Canis lupus familiaris: one gene and its partners. The protein of the gene in region 1 interacts with the protein of each later gene in a pairwise test. Links are inferred from orthologs where the notes say so. Each region holds a gene or a part of one and is shown in the gene's direction. Other genes may lie near its edges.

Region 1 (3,993 bases):
CTGTCATTTATCATTAATTGTTCTGGGATAATTTAAATTCCACTAGCTTATTTTTTACGTTTTTTTTTTTTTTTTTTTTTTTTTTTACAGGTTATAATTGGGAAGCCGTATCCATATATCTGACTTATAATGTTCTAAGAATGGCAGTTAAATACAGTGCTATGTAAGACTGTTGATTTAAAAAAAATTGAGTATCAGATGAATGGGATCTATATAGTATTTCGGGGCTTAGCGAAGTCGTAAGCCATTAGGAATACTGTTTGTTAGTGATCCCACTACAGCTTTGCTAAGTGTCGCAGAGCCATAAAATAAGCCCTTTTAAATAAAAAGGTGACCTTGATAGTATGAAGACGCATGGCTTTAAGTGGCTTCAATTGTCACGGGGATGGAATCAGCATCCCCCCGGCTGGTGTGGACCACGAGGCCACCATCTCCTAACAACCTGCCAAGGGATGGGCTTTCACCTTCGACTACAGTGATGACATTGTGTCGGCGGGAGGCCCAAGCAGATGACCTTGTCCCCTGAAGGTGGCTCACGCTCTCGGGGTACCACAGCAGGACCTACAGCTGCCGCCTGACGGGAAGGGGCTGAGATCGAAGGCCCGGTGTCCGGAGGCGTCGGCCCCGCTATGCGGGGCTGGAAGCCATCACAGCCCCCGCCCCCCGGCGGACCCATCCCGGTTAACATCGGGAGCGTTTATGTCCTAGCACGTCCCTGGACTTGGGTATACCAGGGGGCCGTCCAGCCCTCCCAGGGGCTCCAGGGGGCTCCCGGCGTTACCCCCTTCTTTCCGCGGGGATAGAGCCACCACAGACAGAGGTGGCTCCATGGAAACACGAACTCCTCTGCCTCGTCCCAAGATGGCGACCAGCCCTGGTAGGACTCCAGGGAGCCCCGAGCCACTTCCCCTTCCCAGCAGGCCCTGCGCGGGCGACGACGGCAAGAAGGCAGGGGGCGGAGCCGGCGTGAGAGGGCGGGGCACAGCGCTGCGCCCGCCCGCGCGCACCCCAGCCCCGCCTCACGTCGCTGCGTCCCGGCCCGGAGCTCTCGCCCGGCCGGGCGGCGCGCGCTGCCTGCTGGGATACTCGGCCCGCCCAGCCAGTCCTCCCGGCTTGCGCTGCGGCCGCGAGATCCGCGTTTTTTTCCAAGATGGTGGCGCTGGGTTCGGGGTGACTGGCAGTAGACGACAGAGCCTGAATCCCCTTCGCCGGAACCTCGACACACCGCCTTCCTCCCGCTCACGCACCCCGCTGCCACTTAGCCATCCGCCGGCCTGCGCGCTCGCCTTCCGCCGCCGCCTCGGACTTGGGCTTCATCTTGCGGACCCAACGCTTCGGGCAGCGGGCGGCGGCGCCTCCCTCGGCGCGTCTCGGGGTCGCGCTCGGAGCAGTCCGCAGCCCAGCCCCGGCTCGGCGGGCCCCGCAGCTCCCCAGCGCGGACAGGCGGCGGCTGGCGGCGAGCTCGGGTTCTCTTGCGGCCCCGGCGCCCCCTTTCCCGGCCTCCGTCTCCGGAGAAGGAAGCGCGGGTCCCGCATGAGCCCCGGCGGTGGCGGCAGCGACAGGGAACGAGGCGGTGGCGGGCGGAGGCGGCGAGCGAAGGCTACTGCGACCAGTGAGGCAGCCGCGGCTGCGAGGGCCACGGCCCGGGCGCGGGGGCGACCGCAGGTCAGTGTGGCCGGGGGCCGTTCCCGACGTCGTCCGTGTCGCCGAGCCGCCTTCCGGGGCCTGGGAGGGAGGGTGGGAGGCCCCCGGACCGCGCGGCGGTGGGGGGGGGGGGGCGGCTGCTGCCAGGACTAGGCCTCTGGTGGCGGTGGCGGCGGCGGCGGCGGCTGCCTCCGTAACTGTCAGTCCTGGCCGAGGGCCGGAGGGAGGGTGGTGTGGCCGGAGGGGACGCGAGCGGGCCCGGGGCGGGGCGTGCAGGGCGTCGAGAGTTGGCCTCGGTGGAAGGGCTCGCGGAGCAGGCCGGAGCCGGGCTGGTAGGGCCGGCCCTCTCCTCCCGAGGGGAGAGTTTTTCTTGAGGGCTCGGCCCCGTGGGTGAAAAATGCTGAGCCTGGCGCTGCGGTGGGTTGGGATTTGGGGGTGGACGGTGGCGGGGGTGGGGTTGGGGGGGAGGGCGGATGAAGTGGGAAATCGAGCCCCGGGTCGCGTCCACAGATTATCCGCGTTTTCATGTTAAACGTGAGTTACCGGGTTTGCCAGAAATTCCCTTAAATGCAAACCTGCAAACAGTTGGCATTTTTTACTTTCCCTTTTCAGTTGAGAAAATGAAAAGGACTCTTTCTTCGTCATGGCGTGGAGGTTTTGTTGGTAAAGTGAGAATTGAACGTGGCAAATGCTTTAATCAATAAAATTGTTAGAAATGATTTTAATGTAGACTTAGACTCCTTCAAAGATAATTTAGTCTCTGAATTTTTAAAAACGACCAGTGGGCATACTAAAATAGAAACATTACTAAATCTGTCTGGGATTCTATTTATTAAGTGGCTAGGGTGCTGTTGAAATGTAAAAGAATAGTAATATGGGATTTACAGTCCATAGTTACCCTCCGTAAATATGAGGGGAATATGGATATGACCCATAATTTTGGAGAATTCCACTGCCTGCAATATTGAAAGAAGCAGGAAATTATTCCAGAATATTCTGGGGGGAAGAAAAGGGCCTGAAATGGAAAGGACCTAGAGTTTGGAAGTATAACTGTTAAAAAGTTACCTGTCAGAGTCACTGTGGATACCCAATAAATATCTTGAGTGAATTAGACAAGAAGGATAAGAAGTGTTTATTCATAATCTCTGACTAATAAGTACTCAGATTATTGTGTAAGCCATGTAAAAATTTAGAATTTAGAAAGATAAAAGTATAATTTTGTCATGATATATATAGAAATAATTTTAGAGGTAGATGGTGCTTATAAATCGGGTTATCACATTTGTAATAAAATGAATACAATATTCACGATGATGCTGATAAGACCAAAGAATGAACCTGAAGCCTTTTAAAGAAACTAATAATCATGACAACAAAAGCAAGAAATAAATTCAAGAAATAATGACCTTCTCCTTACAAGAATGGGACTGGAAACTAAGGAAGTCTTGTATCAATATATATTATCTAGTATGCTAAGTATTATGTACACTGTTGTCTGGACATTGCCTAGTTCTTGAGGACTTTACAGAGTAAATTACAATATTACAATGTTTTGGTTCCTTTTCAGGGGTTTTGTAAGCTGTTTTTGTTTTACTTCTCTGAAATTGTACATTTTTTTCATGGCTTAAAAAAATACCTTCTTAAGTATGCTTATTAGAAGTGTGAGGAAGACACATTCTCATCCCACTTGCCCAGCTCATGTAATAAGGTTTATTGGGTATTTAAAATTGGATTTTAACATTTAATCAGTTGTATTTCTTAAACTTTAGATCATTTTTAAAGTGGTACTCCTCTCTCCCCTCCAAAAAAGAAAAAAAAAAAATCACCCCACACATCTGAAATGATTTGCCATTTCAAATAAGCAGTCAGTGGAATAATCCAAAACTATGCATCATATCTAAATTTTTCAACCCAAACACTTGAAATATTTACAGATGTTTATTTTCTTAAATGATTATTGGTTATGTACTTGTCATGTTGCACATTTTTGTTTATATCTAAACTAGTATTGGTCAAAACAGGGACATTACATTAAGTACATAGGTATCTGTTAAGAAATTAGTTTTTTGATTTTTTTTATGAGTGAAGACAAGTTTTCTCTTTTTAGGATAATTCGGGATAACAGAGTTTTGGCTGATTTTGACATTCCCTGCTCTGCCCCCACTGCAAATGAAAAGATAAATTCAGACATTATAATGTATACAGGGAAGATAGCTTTGGAATTAGATTCCATTTTTACTTCTGGGCTCAACCTTACTTGTTTGATCTTAGAAAGTTACTTAGTCTTGGTGAGCTGCAGTTTTGTCATCTGTAAAATGGGGTGGTGAAACTAACTCAGTTTCAAGGATT
Region 2 (4,266 bases), on another chromosome or scaffold:
TCTTCTTTCGGATTTGCGAAGAACGTGCGGTTTTCAGGTGAATCCTCCTTTACACGCGTGTAGGAGCAGAAGCCCAGTCTAGTTGGCTTTAGCGGATACACATTTAAAAAAAAAAAAAAGCCAAAGCGCATTAGGCTGCATGAAAGTGGAAAGCATAGTAGCAACTTGGTAGACAGATGGCAATGGCAGAACGCAGGTCCGCGTACATATATGAATCCGGAGTGTGTGTGTGACCGCGGCGGGCGGGGGGGGGCGACGACTGTATCTGTCCAGACGTATAGGTGTGTGTGTGTGTGTGTGTGTGCGCGCGCGTGTGTGTGTGTAGGTCCGTCTCGGCAGGGTGGCCGCGGCAGCCCTGGCGCTTGTCACCGCGTCACCACATGTCCAAAATATTCTGTGCATCAATGCAAGGGCAGGGAGCAGGGGGTGCAGGGACAGCTCGGCAGTCAGATCCTCCCAAATCGGGTTTCCAGGGAGCGGACCCTTTCACTCAAAGCGAGACTGCCTGCAAAGTGTAAAGCCCTTCACCGGTGAGCCCAGGAAGGAGTTGCCTCGGTAGAGCAAAGTACCGATTAACCGTGAACTTAAAGCGGATTGCAAACTGCAACCTTTGGCACCATCTGCAGACCGTGCAGACCGTGGGGGGTGGGGCCGCCTGGGCTTCGCTGCCTTCACCCGAGCGTGCGGCGTGCACCCCGGGACTGCAAGTTGCAGGAGCCCTTCGGTGCACGTGTCTGGTGCCTGTGAGTGTTTGTGAGTTGGGGGCTGTTGTTCGGAAGCCGGCAGGCTCTCCGGGTTGTTGGCGCTGGCTTGCAAATGCGGGAGAGGGATGGAATGTGGAATGTTGACCGGGGAACCGAATCCTGTCGGAACGGTCCCATTTGCTGGAGAAATTCGATCCCTTCCACCTCCTTCCCGCTCCCCCCCGCCCTCGCCCGCCCGCCCGCCCGCCCGCCCGCCCGCCTGCGGGCAGGAGGCGGGGCCGAGGACGCGGCTGCTGCTCAAAGTGGCGGAGCGCGGCGGCGGGAGGCAGGTGCACGGCACCCGCCAGTGGGGGTGCCTCAACTTCCGCGGGCGTTTAAATAGCAGGCTCTCTCCCCTCCCACCGGTAATAGGTGACCTGGCGGCCGAGGGCGGCGGGGGGAAGGGCCGGGGGAGCCCCGGGACCGAGCCTCCGCGGCACGTGGGCAGGTGCTGGGGGGGCCCCGGGGCCAACTTTTGTGGCCCGCCTCCGGCCTTGGGGCAGAGGCGGCTCCTGGTGGGAATGGGGGCGGGCGGCGGCCGAGGCGTCACCTAACGGTCCCGGGGGCGCCGCCGCGGGGCCGGGGTGGGGGGCTCCGGGGGCGGGGACGCCCGGCCCTCCGCGCCCGCGCCCGCGCCGCCCGCGCCCCGCACAAAGCCCGCGGCGCGGGGGCGGCCGCCGCGCCCCCGCCCGGGAGCGGCCCGAAGCCCGTCGCCGTCCCCGCGCCGATTCCGGCGGGCGGCCGCAGGCGTTTGTTTGTTGGTTCCGCGCCGCCTTCCTCGCCGGATGGCTTCCTGTGACAGAGGTGATCCACAGTTTCCAGAACTGTCTGGGGGCGGGAGCGGCCGCGGGAGCCGGAGCGGGAGCCGGAGCCGGAGCCGAGCCCGCCCGGGGCTGCTCGCCGCCGCCGCCTTCGCCGCCTTCGCCGCTCCCAGCTCGCGGCCGTTTCTCGCCGGCGCGGCCGCCGCGGCTCCAGGTGCCGCCCGGGAGGGACTCGGGGAGGGGACGGCGCGGCCGTTTCCAGCGGCGCAAGTGGCTTCTGGACGCGAGGGAGCGTTTGATTTGCAACTGGGGCCGAGCGGATTGGTGCAGCGGCGGCGGCGGGGCGGGAGGAGCGGCGGCGGGGGGGCGGCCACTTTCAAACGGAGAGGGCGGCGGCGGGGACGGCGCTGCGGAGGGAGCGGGCCCGGCTGCGCCACGAGAAGGTGTCATCGCTGCACCGGGGCTAATTCCGGCGGAGGTGCCGGGAGTTACTTTCCCCTCCTTCCGCGCTGTTGTTTCTGTCGCCTCGGGAGGAGGAGGCGGCGGAGGAGGAGGAGAGGAGAGGAGAGGAGAGGAGAGGCGGGAGGGCGGGCGGAGGGGGCGGTGCCGCGCGGAGCCGCGGCCCTGCGCACACCCGGCGGGCGGCGGGCGGCGGGCGGCGGGCGTCTGGGTGCGGGGCGGCGGCCCGGCTCCCCCGCAGCCCGGGGTCCCTCCCACGCGGGCGCCGCGTCCCGCCGCCTGCCCCGCCCGCCCCGCCCGCCCCCGGCTCCCCCTCCCCGGCTCCCCCTCCCCGGCTCCCCCTCCCGGACGCGCGGGGGCGGCCGCAGCCCCGGCGCCCGGAGAAGGCAGCGAGCAGACAAAAAAGCGGGCGATTTAAACGCGCCTTCGAAACCCGTTAGGAATGCGCCGTCCCCGGAGGCCGTTTGCGAGCGGCGGGGCCGGCCGGCGGCGACCCCAGCGCCCCAGGCCGCCCCGGGGCAGCTCCCCCGCTCGCCGCGAAGCCGCAGCTGCACGTCGGCCCCGACGACGGCCGTTCGGGGAAGCGGGAGCGCGTCGGAGGCTCCGCCGGTGGGGAAGGAACGCTTAGGGGCTCGTTTCCCAGAGGCTTTTACTAGGTGACCCCCCCGCCCCCGCCCCCGCCCCCCGCTTCCGGACGCTCCCTGTTGAAAGCCTGGCTCTGCGGCTCCTTGTAGCTCAAGGCTGTTTAGGATGTCTCAAGGCCCAGGAACTCGTTTCGGGGGACCGGGCAGCCCTTTCCCCGGAAGCCGGTTTCCTAGTGGTCCCGGTGGTTAGAGGGGACCGTGGGGCGTTGCGCTTTGCTCGGGTCGCCGCTGGTGGAGGCGCAGGGCCTCGCAGGGGAGAGGAAGGAAGAGTTCGTAGGACCCTGCTGGGACGCAGGCCTGACTCCGGGTGCAGTGCTCGTCGTAGAGCGGGCAGCACCCGTGGGGGGCAGAGGGTGTTTGGGGTGACCCTGCAGAGCGCACGTCTGCGGCCCAGAATTTTACTGCTTAGATTCCAAATATTTCCGACGACTTCTTGTTTGGTATTTGCTGGTCTTCCATAAGTTTGTGTATTTTTTTTTTTAAGATTTTATTTATTCATGAGAGAGAGAGGCAGAGACACAGGCAGAGGGAGAAGCAGGCTCCACGCAGGGAGCCCGACGTGGGACTCGATCCCGGGACTCCAGGGTCACACCCCGGGCTGAAGGCGGCGCCAAACCGCTGCGCCACCCCGGGGTCCCCAAGTTTGCGTGTTTTTATATTTATATATAAATTGGCAGTTTTGACGTCTACAGCAAATCGTTTGCAGCTAAGTGTACTGATTCCCCGTTTCCCCCTTCATTTTTCCATTAGGCAGACCTAAAGGGAGTTGCCTGACAAACTGTAGAACTTGAACTTGATTCTGCCCTAAGATCCTAGGCTGCTTTTTCTGTAAGGAAAGTTGGATGGGCTGCCACAGAAAATCTACCTATGACAAAGCTAGGTATATGTTCTTCTAAAAGGAAAAGAGGAGGGACTCCTGGGTGGCTCAGCGGTTGAGCGTCTGCCTTTGGCCCAGGGCGTGATCCCGGGATCTGGAATCGAGTCCCACGTCGGGCTCCCTGCATGGAGCCTGCTTCTCCCTCTGCCTGTGCCTCTGCCTCTCTCTCTCTCTCTCTCATGAATAAACAAACAAAATCTTAAAAAAAAATAAAAGGAAAAGAAGAAAGTCCATCATAACAGTTCCTCCTTTGTCCCATGACAGGGTTTTAGCCTATAATGAACCTTTTCGTCTTGTATTATTAAGGTTGAAAGAATAGCTATAGCCAGGAAAACTGAAAAATTAAGTGCGCTTGAGAGTGAGATGACGGGAAAAAACTTAGAGGAGTTTAAGGAAATGTTCTATTTTAAAAGGAACTGTTGCTTAGCTCAGAGGCTGGGGAAGGATTAGCTAAAAACTTGGAGAACTTGGAATAAGAGCAGATCTCCATGTGACTCGTTCATACTAGTCACTTAATAAATAATGATTTTTGGCTTTAAGGAGCCCTTAGTGGTTTAAAGTATTATTACAGAGGTGGTGTTGCACGTACATTGTTGGAAACTAGGAAATACGGGGAAGCAAATATCCAGAGATCACCACTGTATCACTTTATTGATAATTGTGCATATGTATATAGATTTTAATCAAAATGAGATCATACTATATATACAGTTCTATAAGGAGTGTCCCCCCCCCCCCAATCAGCCAGCTTGATAAATTCTCATCTTATTTGATACAGGGAT
Region 3 (3,995 bases), on another chromosome or scaffold:
GCTCCCTGTAAGGAACCCAATGCAGAACTTGATCCTAGGACCCTGGGATCATGCCCTTAGCAGAAGGCAGATACTCAATTGCTGAGCTACCCAGGGATCCCTATTTAATGCATATCTTTATACTTTATATCAGGTGAATTAATCACCGATTTTTTACACAAAGTATTTTATTATGTGGTAATATCATAATATATTTTATCAACCCTGTGTAAGCACACTGATTATCTTTATTTTTTTATTTTTTAAAGATTTTATTTATTTATTCATGAGAGACAGAGAGAGAGAGAGAGGAGAGACACAGGCAGAGAGAAGCAGGCTCCTTGCAGGGATCCCGACAGGGGACTCGATACTGGCACCTCAAGCCCTGAGTCAAAGGCAAACGCTCAACTGCTGAGCCACCCAGGCATCCCTGATTATCTTTAAAAATAATTTTAAGATGCTGCAGTGCATATACATCTTATACATATATATTTTTGCATCCTTATCTACTTTCATAGAAGTGTCTAAAGAAGGTATTTCTAAATAAAAATGGAAATATTTAAAATGTTGATACATATTTTCAAATTGCCTTACACTTATAACAATTTACACTTCAACTGATAAGAGTGCATTTTCTCAGCTCACTGATGATAAGGTTTATCATTATTTTCCTTTTTCCAATATGATAAAGCAGAAGTAGAATCTCACTATCTTAATTGAATTTCTTTGATTACTAGTAAGCTTAAGCATCCATTTTTATGCTCATTGGCCATTTGGGTTTCTTTTGTAAAATGCATGCTCTGGCCCAGTCTGCTCCCCTTCCCCCACTCTGGCTGTTAGTCTTTTCCTTTTGCTTAGTCAGAGTTCTTTTTCATTTTTCGTCTTTTACATGGGGTGAGTTTGATTCAGGCTTTCATCCTTTCTTGCCTGACAGACTTTATATATATTTTTATATATAATATATTCTACATGGGTCTTTTAATGTCCTCAGAAGCTAGCTCCTTTTCTCTCTCCCTTCCTCCTTCCCTCTCTTTTGTCTTCTCTGTTCTCTTTGTTTCTTTCTGTCTTTGTTTTTCTCTCTCTCCCTCTCTCTTTATTTTTTCCAGTACAGAAGTTTTTAATTTTGAACGAGTCGAATCTATCATTTTCGGCCTGGCGCCGCGTCAGCAGAGGGGGCGGGGAGGCGAGCGCGGAACTGGGGGAGGGGACAGGGCGGGGAGGAGCGGGCAGAGCAGCTGCAGGAGTTGCTGGGAGCGCGCGCGGTGCGATCACTCGGCGTCGGAGGAGGCCCAGAGACCTGAACGCAGACGCTTCTCCCGCGGCCTACAGCGTCTTCTCCCCACCGGAGGACCAGGAAACCGCAGTTCTCATCACAGAGGTACCGTGCTCTGCGCTCCCCGCCCGGCTCAGCCTGCTGTGGTGGCGCCTCCTTCCTTCCTTCTTCCCTCGCTCTCTTTCTCGCCCGCCCGCGCCTTCTCTGTCTGCCTGCGTCACCGCGGCCGCCATGGCTGAGAACGGCGAGAGTAGCGGCCCCCCGCGCCCCTCCCGCGGCCCTGCCGCGGCCCAAGGCCCTGCCTCTGCCCCGGCCGAGCCCAAAATCATCAAAGTTACTGTGAAGACCCCCAAAGAGAAAGAGGAGTTCGCGGTGCCCGAGAATAGCTCAGTCCAGCAGTTTAAGGAAGCGATTTCAAAACGCTTCAAATCCCAAACCGACCAGCTAGTGTTGATTTTTGCCGGAAAAATCTTAAAAGATCAAGATACCTTGATTCAGCATGGCATCCATGATGGACTGACTGTTCATCTTGTAATTAAAAGCCAGAACCGACCTCAGGGCCAGTCCACACAGCCTAGTAATGCCGCGGGAACTAATACTACCTCCGCGTCGACTCCCAGGAGTAACTCCACATCTGTTTCCACAAATAGCAACCCGTTTGGGCTGGGGAGCTTAGGAGGACTTGCAGGCCTTAGCAGCCTGGGCTTGAGCTCGACCAACTTCTCTGAGCTCCAGAACCAGATGCAGCAGCAGCTCCTGTCCAGCCCTGAGATGATGATTCAAATCATGGAAAATCCCTTTGTTCAGAGCATGCTTTCAAATCCCGATCTAATGAGGCAGCTCATTATGGCCAATCCACAGATGCAGCAGTTGATTCAGAGAAATCCAGAAATCAGTCACCTGCTCAACAACCCAGATATAATGAGACAGACCCTGGAAATTGCCAGGAATCCAGCCATGATGCAAGAGATGATGAGAAATCAAGATTTGGCTCTCAGCAATCTTGAAAGCATCCCAGGTGGCTACAATGCTCTACGACGCATGTACACTGATATTCAAGAACCCATGCTGAATGCTGCACAAGAGCAGTTTGGGGGTAATCCATTTGCCTCGGTGGGAAGCAGTTCCACCTCTGGGGAAGGTACACAACCTTCCCGCACAGAAAATCGAGATCCACTACCCAATCCATGGGCACCACCACCGGCTACCCAGAGTTCTGCAACCACCAGCACAACCTCCAGCAGTGGCAGTGGCTCTGGCAGTAGCTCCAGCAGTGCTACTGGGAACACCGTGGCTGCAGCCAACTATGTTGCCAGCATCTTCAGTACCCCAGGAATGCAGAGCTTGCTGCAACAGATAACTGAAAACCCTCAACTGATCCAGAATATGCTGTCTGCACCCTACATGAGAAGCATGATGCAGTCGCTGAGCCAGAATCCAGATTTAGCTGCACAGATGATGCTGAATAGCCCGGTGTTTACTGCAAATCCTCAGTTGCAGGAGCAGATGCGTCCACAGCTCCCAGCTTTCCTGCAGCAGATGCAGAATCCAGACACACTATCAGCCATGTCAAACCCAAGAGCAATGCAGGCTTTAATGCAGATCCAGCAGGGGCTACAGACATTAGCCACTGAAGCTCCTGGCCTCATTCCAAGCTTCACTCCAGGTGTGGGGGTAGGGGTGCTGGGAACCGCTATAGGCCCTGTAGGCCCAGTCACACCCATAGGCCCCATAGGCCCCATAGTCCCATTTACTCCCATAGGCCCCATTGGGCCCATAGGACCCACCGGCCCTGCAGGCCCTGGCTCTACTGGCTCTGGAGGCCCCCCTGGGCCCACTGTTTCTAGCTCTACACCCACCGAAACCACTAGCCCAACATCAGAATCTGGACCCAACCAGCAGTTCATTCAGCAAATGGTGCAGGCTCTGGCTGGGGCAAGTCCTCCACAGCTGCCGAATCCAGAAGTCAGATTTCAGCAACAACTGGAACAGCTCAACGCAATGGGGTTCTTAAACCGTGAGGCAAACTTGCAGGCTCTAATAGCAACAGGAGGCGACATCAATGCTGCCATTGAAAGGCTGCTGGGCTCCCAGCCATCCTAATTACATTTCTGTACCTTGAAAAAAATGTATCTTATTTTTGATAATGGCTCTTAAATCTTTAAACACACACAAAAACGTGCTTTACTTTCATTTTGATTCTTTTAAATCTAATTATAAGTCTAATATGCATTTTAAGGTGGAGTCCATCCTTCTGTCCCTCCTTCCTGTATCTATCCTTCCTGCCTGCCTGCCTTCCTTCCTTCTTTCCTACCTCCCTCTATCCCTTTCTCCTTCCTTCCTTCCTTACTTTCTTCCTTCCTTCTCTGTTTTGAATGGTGGTAATTGTAATCAATGCTGTTTCACTCAAAGGTGTTGCATGCAAACACTTCTCTTTATTCTGCATTTATTGTGATTTTTGGAAACCGGTATCAGCCTTCACTGTTAAGTGAATAAGTTTTGTCCTACAGATGTCCAATTTATTTGCATTTTAAACATTAGCCTATAATAGTAATTTAATGTAGAATTAAAATATTAAAAACAAGCAAATTATTTGAAGCTCTCCAATTTGTGGTACAATATTGCTTATTGTGACTTTGGCATGTATTTTTGCTAGCAAAATGCTGTAAGATTTATACCATTATTTGCTCTTTTTGCTATGTTTTACACAGTACAGTAAGCACAATTGGAACTGTACATCTAG
Region 4 (4,272 bases), on another chromosome or scaffold:
CTACTTTAACATAAAAAAATTCCTTTGGAAACCTCCTTTATTTCTACCTGCCACGATACACGTTGGCAATCATCCCCCCCAGGTATATGATCCACCAATATACAACTTGAAGGGTCTCACAACGGAGTTTTTACTGAACAGTAATAAATGACCTTTCCTACGAATAGCTAGACCCAGCAGGATCTGGAACAAGGAAATCTTGTTTCCAAAATACCTGGTAGGGTTACACCACCCCCAACTCCCTCCCATCTTGAAAGTATATAATGGGCCACTCCTCATGACCCCAGTGCAGCTTTTTCTCCTCCTGGATCCCGTCCCTGTGCCTTGATAAAATCATTTTTTTGCACCAAAGGTGTCTCAAGAATTCTTTCTTGGCCCTTGGTGTGGAACCCTAAGCCTTTGCTATCTCAACTGCCTGTACATCTCGCCAATAGTTAATATTCAAGCTGAGTAAGCACCGGAGAAATCTTGCGAAAGTAGTTTTATGAGCCGAAATTTGAAGAAAATATTTATGATCTAGTACTTCCTGCATGTCCCCTGCCCCTTGAACATTAAGCTTATAACCACCAGTTTCATGCAGCAAAGGTGCAGCTCTTCCAGCCTATGGGTCCTACCCCGGTGCTACTTAAATGCACTTGCTAAGCTGCGCCGTAAAACCTCTCGAGAATTCCTTCCTGACCAGGCTAGGCCAGTGATCCCACGACAACAGGAAAGAAGAGGGCCCCCCAAGACAGCTTCTTTGGGAGAAAGAAGGGCTCTGGGACCAGGCACTTAAGGGACTCACTGGAGAAGCAGCTCCAGAGGCTACCCAAGAACGGCCAAAGAGGAGAAAAAGCAAGAGGAACGAAGTCGGGGAAAGATGGCCAGAGAGAGTAAAGAAAATCCAGAGGACCTAAACCAACAGTTGCATTCAAGGGAGGAGTCCATCAACGACAGAAACCTCGCTGATTTCCTCGGGTCGGCCCCAGCCACAGTGACTCTGCGACCCCTGCTCCCTGGTGACTTGACACATCTCTTCGGGCTCCTGGACAGTTGCAACCGGTGATTTACGATTTCCTCCAAACACACAGCTCGGGCAGGTCTGGATCTTACTCATTTTTCTCTTCCACGGAGCCTTATGTCTACTGCTCAATGGGTATCAGTGAAACGACTTGAAGAACACCTGGAAATCCACGTGAATCCCGACGCAACCTCCTAAGCTGCGCCAGAAACCAAGCTGCCGGCCGCCGGCCGCACCGCGCAGGCGCAAAGGCCGAGCCCGCGGGGCTTCCTCCCGGTCTTTGCATTTGGCGCGAAATCCCGGCTCCGGGGGCGGGGCCGAGGGAGAAGCCGCGCTCATTGGGCAGGTTTGGCGCGAAACCCGCGAGCTCTCGCGCCACGATTGGTCGCGGCCGCCGCCGGGGGCGCGCGCCGAGCGGCAGCGTCTGCGGGGAAGCGACCGCTGGCTGAGGAGCGTGCGGGCTGAGGCCCCTCGGCGCCGGCGGCCATGGACCTCGGGGCGGCGGCGGAGCCGGGCGCCGGCAGCCAGCGCCAGGAAGTCCGCGACGAGGTGGCCGAGAAGTGCCAGAAGCTCTTCCTGGATTTCCTGGAGGAGTAAGTCGGCGCGCGCCCCTTCCTCGCGGAACTTCCCCGGGCCGCCGTCCCCACTTCCGGAGCCCCGTTCCCCGGGCGGGCGTGGGGGGGGGGGGCGCGGCCGACGGGAGTAGAGACCCCCGCCCCCCCCCCCCCCCGAGCGCCTGGGTCCCGTCCTTCTGCCGTCCCCGCCCGTAAGGCCGGCGGCCCCGTCGGCCCTGGGCGCCTCGGCGGGCCCTGGGGCACCTCGGCGGACCCTGGGGCACTTCAGCGGGCCCTGGGCGCCTCGGCGGACCCCGGGGCACCTCGTTGGACCCCGGGGCACCTCGGCGGACCCCGGGGCGCGCAGGGTAGGTGGCAGGCTCGGCCCCGAGGGCACCCGACGGCCAGGCCGCTGCCGTGCTGGGGAGCCGTGCGCGGAGAGGACGCTCGCGGGGACCCGGGCCCGCCCGAAAGCGTCGGGGGCGCGCTCCTTCCTCGCGTCCCCCTCCCTCTACGCGCACCTCCCAGGGCCTCCCAGGCTCCTGGGCCCTCCTTCCTGCCGCTGCCGCCCCTTGGGTTTCTTAGTGCAGATGCATCACTTCTTTTTTCCTGAGACTGTGGACTTCCGAATGTCTTATGAAGTCCTCCTTTTTTTTTTTTTTTTTTTTTTTAAATTGTAAGACATGCGTGACATGGATGTTACATGTTATGTTACATCGACCTACAAAACTTCCCAGCTAACTTTTTTTTAAGAGTAGAGTTGAGTGGCGTTAAGGGCGTACGTGGAGCTTGTCAAGCAGCCCTTGGGTGGATCGGCGCCGGCCCTCGCGGCAACTCCTGGGCTTCCCAAAAGTTGACACTCTGCGACCCCTAAACCGTCGCTCCCCGTTCCCCCCACCCTGCCCCCAGCACCTGGCAGCCTTCCTTCATCCCCCGTAGTTCAGATGAATTTCACTGTTCTGGTCGCCTGGTCTGCTTGGAGTCGTACCGTATTTGTTCTTTTGTGACCAGCTTATTGCACTTACCGCTGTAACATCCTCAAGATTCATCCCCCTATACAGCATGGGTCAGAATCTCTTTTTAAGGGTGAGTAGTGTTTCACTGTGTGCCTGTACCCCTTCCTGTCCGTTCGTTCATGGACGCTTGGTTTGTTTTTTTTTTCCCCACATTTTTACTATTGTGAATAATTCTGTCTTAAGAGATCCTGATATATCCTGATATATTTATTTATGTTTTTTTTTTTTTTGAAGTTTTTCTTTATTTATTCATGAGAATCGCAAAGAGAGGCAGAAACATAGGCAGAGGGAGAAGCAGGCTCCCATCAGGACTCATGTGGGACTGGATCCCGGGACCCCAGGATAACAAACACCCTGAGCTGAAGGCAGACACTCAACCATTGAGCCACCCAGGTGCCCCAAGATTCTGATATATTTAAAACAATAATTTAATTTACGTTCCCTATCTCTGCCGGACAGCTATTTATCTTTCAAAGCCTAGCTACAGACTCAGACTTCCTTTGTCAAACCCTATAAGCTTTTTTTTTTTTTTTTTTAAGATTTTATTTGTTTATTCATGGGAGATAGAGAGGCAGGCTCCATGCAGGAAGCCCAACACAGGACTTGATCCCAGGTCCCCAGGATCACGCCCTGGGCTGAAGGCAGTGCTAAACCACTGAGCCACCGGAGCTGCCCCAAACCCTATAAACCTTTAAGGCAACATCAATCCTTTCTTCCCTTAGGCTCCTAAGGCGCCATTTTCCGTTATCTCTGGTGTAACTTGCTATATCTACCTGTCAGCCTCTTTGTCTTGAATGTAAATCTCATCCTTAACCCCACCTGGCTGTCACACCATACTACATAGGTCCTCAATTAATGTTTCATCTTAACAAAGAATATAATTGTTTTCACTGCCTTGCAGTACCATACAGCTAGGTGCTAGGGATAATGATAAATAGGACAAATAATCACTGTATTTGGGGAAGGCGGGGAATGTTAACTTGCCCTCAAAATTCCAACTCTGATTTGCCCTTGTTTATGGAATAAAGTCCCAAATTCTTCACAGCTCCTCTTCCCAGTTTCATCCCACAAGCAGCCTGCCACCATCCTTCTTCCTATACCTTTTCTGACATTGCCACTTATTTATCAACACCTATAGCCAGCCAGTCTAACCACTACTGGGATTTTTTTTTTTTTGGTGATTTTGTTGTTGTTTTTTGCTTTCTTTCAAATTCTAAATGTCTTTCAAGGCTGAATTCCACTGTCCCTTTTGAAATGCTTGAGGCGTTTCTGTGTGTTCTCCTAGAGCAGAATTAGTTTATAATCCCACAGCACATTTCTTGTACCTCTTCCTTTTTTCCCCTTTATTTTATTGTGAAAAACAATAAAATACATAATCTCACTTAACATGAGATCTACCCTCTTAAATTTTTAGCTGTACAATATATTATCATTGACTTTAAGTACAATGTTACACAGTGGATCTCTTAAGACTTATTCGGTCTCATTTGGATGAAACTTTATGCCTATTTATTAGGACCTCCACATCTCCTCCTTTGCTCTAGCCTCAGGCAACTACCATTCTGCTGTCTCTGTCGATCTATTTATTTAATGTAAGCTCTGCACCCAACCTGGGACTTGAACTCCTGACCCTGAGATCAAGAGTCGCATGCTCTACCAACTAAGCCAGCCACCTGTCCCCATTCCACTTTGACTATATGAA

Evidence for each region.
Region 2: the proteins of UBE3A (region 1) and JADE1 interact in a two-hybrid assay, tested with the Homo sapiens proteins (3 studies listed by BioGRID and IntAct). The link is inferred for Canis lupus familiaris from reciprocal best matches to the Homo sapiens genes UBE3A and JADE1.
Region 3: the proteins of UBE3A (region 1) and UBQLN2 interact in a two-hybrid assay, tested with the Homo sapiens proteins (2 studies listed by BioGRID and IntAct). The link is inferred for Canis lupus familiaris from reciprocal best matches to the Homo sapiens genes UBE3A and UBQLN2.
Region 4: the proteins of UBE3A (region 1) and MCM6 interact in binary tests that used the Homo sapiens proteins (3 or more experiments, as listed by UniProt). The link is inferred for Canis lupus familiaris from reciprocal best matches to the Homo sapiens genes UBE3A and MCM6.

The regions. Positions count from the first base shown.
Region 1 is NC_049224.1:35,646,820-35,650,812, forward strand, and holds the start of UBE3A (ubiquitin-protein ligase E3A), read left to right. Parts: upstream 1-1,146; 5' UTR 1,147-1,665; intron 1,666-3,993. UniProt on the Homo sapiens protein: E3 ubiquitin-protein ligase which accepts ubiquitin from an E2 ubiquitin-conjugating enzyme in the form of a thioester and transfers it to its substrates.
Region 2 is NC_049240.1:13,053,953-13,058,218, reverse strand, and holds the start of JADE1 (protein Jade-1), read left to right. Parts: upstream 1-1,463; 5' UTR 1,464-1,528; coding exon 1,529-1,547; intron 1,548-1,893; exon of another isoform or gene 1,894-1,982; intron 1,983-2,501; exon of another isoform or gene 2,502-2,619; intron 2,620-4,266.
Region 3 is NC_049260.1:48,015,652-48,019,646, forward strand, and holds the start of UBQLN2 (ubiquilin-2), read left to right. Parts: upstream 1-1,194; 5' UTR 1,195-1,483; coding exon 1,484-3,355; 3' UTR 3,356-3,995. UniProt on the Homo sapiens protein: Plays an important role in the regulation of different protein degradation mechanisms and pathways including ubiquitin-proteasome system (UPS), autophagy and the endoplasmic reticulum-associated protein degradation (ERAD) pathway.
Region 4 is NC_049240.1:40,137,126-40,141,397, reverse strand, and holds the start of MCM6 (DNA replication licensing factor MCM6), read left to right. Parts: upstream 1-1,426; 5' UTR 1,427-1,486; coding exon 1,487-1,593; intron 1,594-4,272. UniProt on the Homo sapiens protein: Acts as a component of the MCM2-7 complex (MCM complex) which is the replicative helicase essential for 'once per cell cycle' DNA replication initiation and elongation in eukaryotic cells.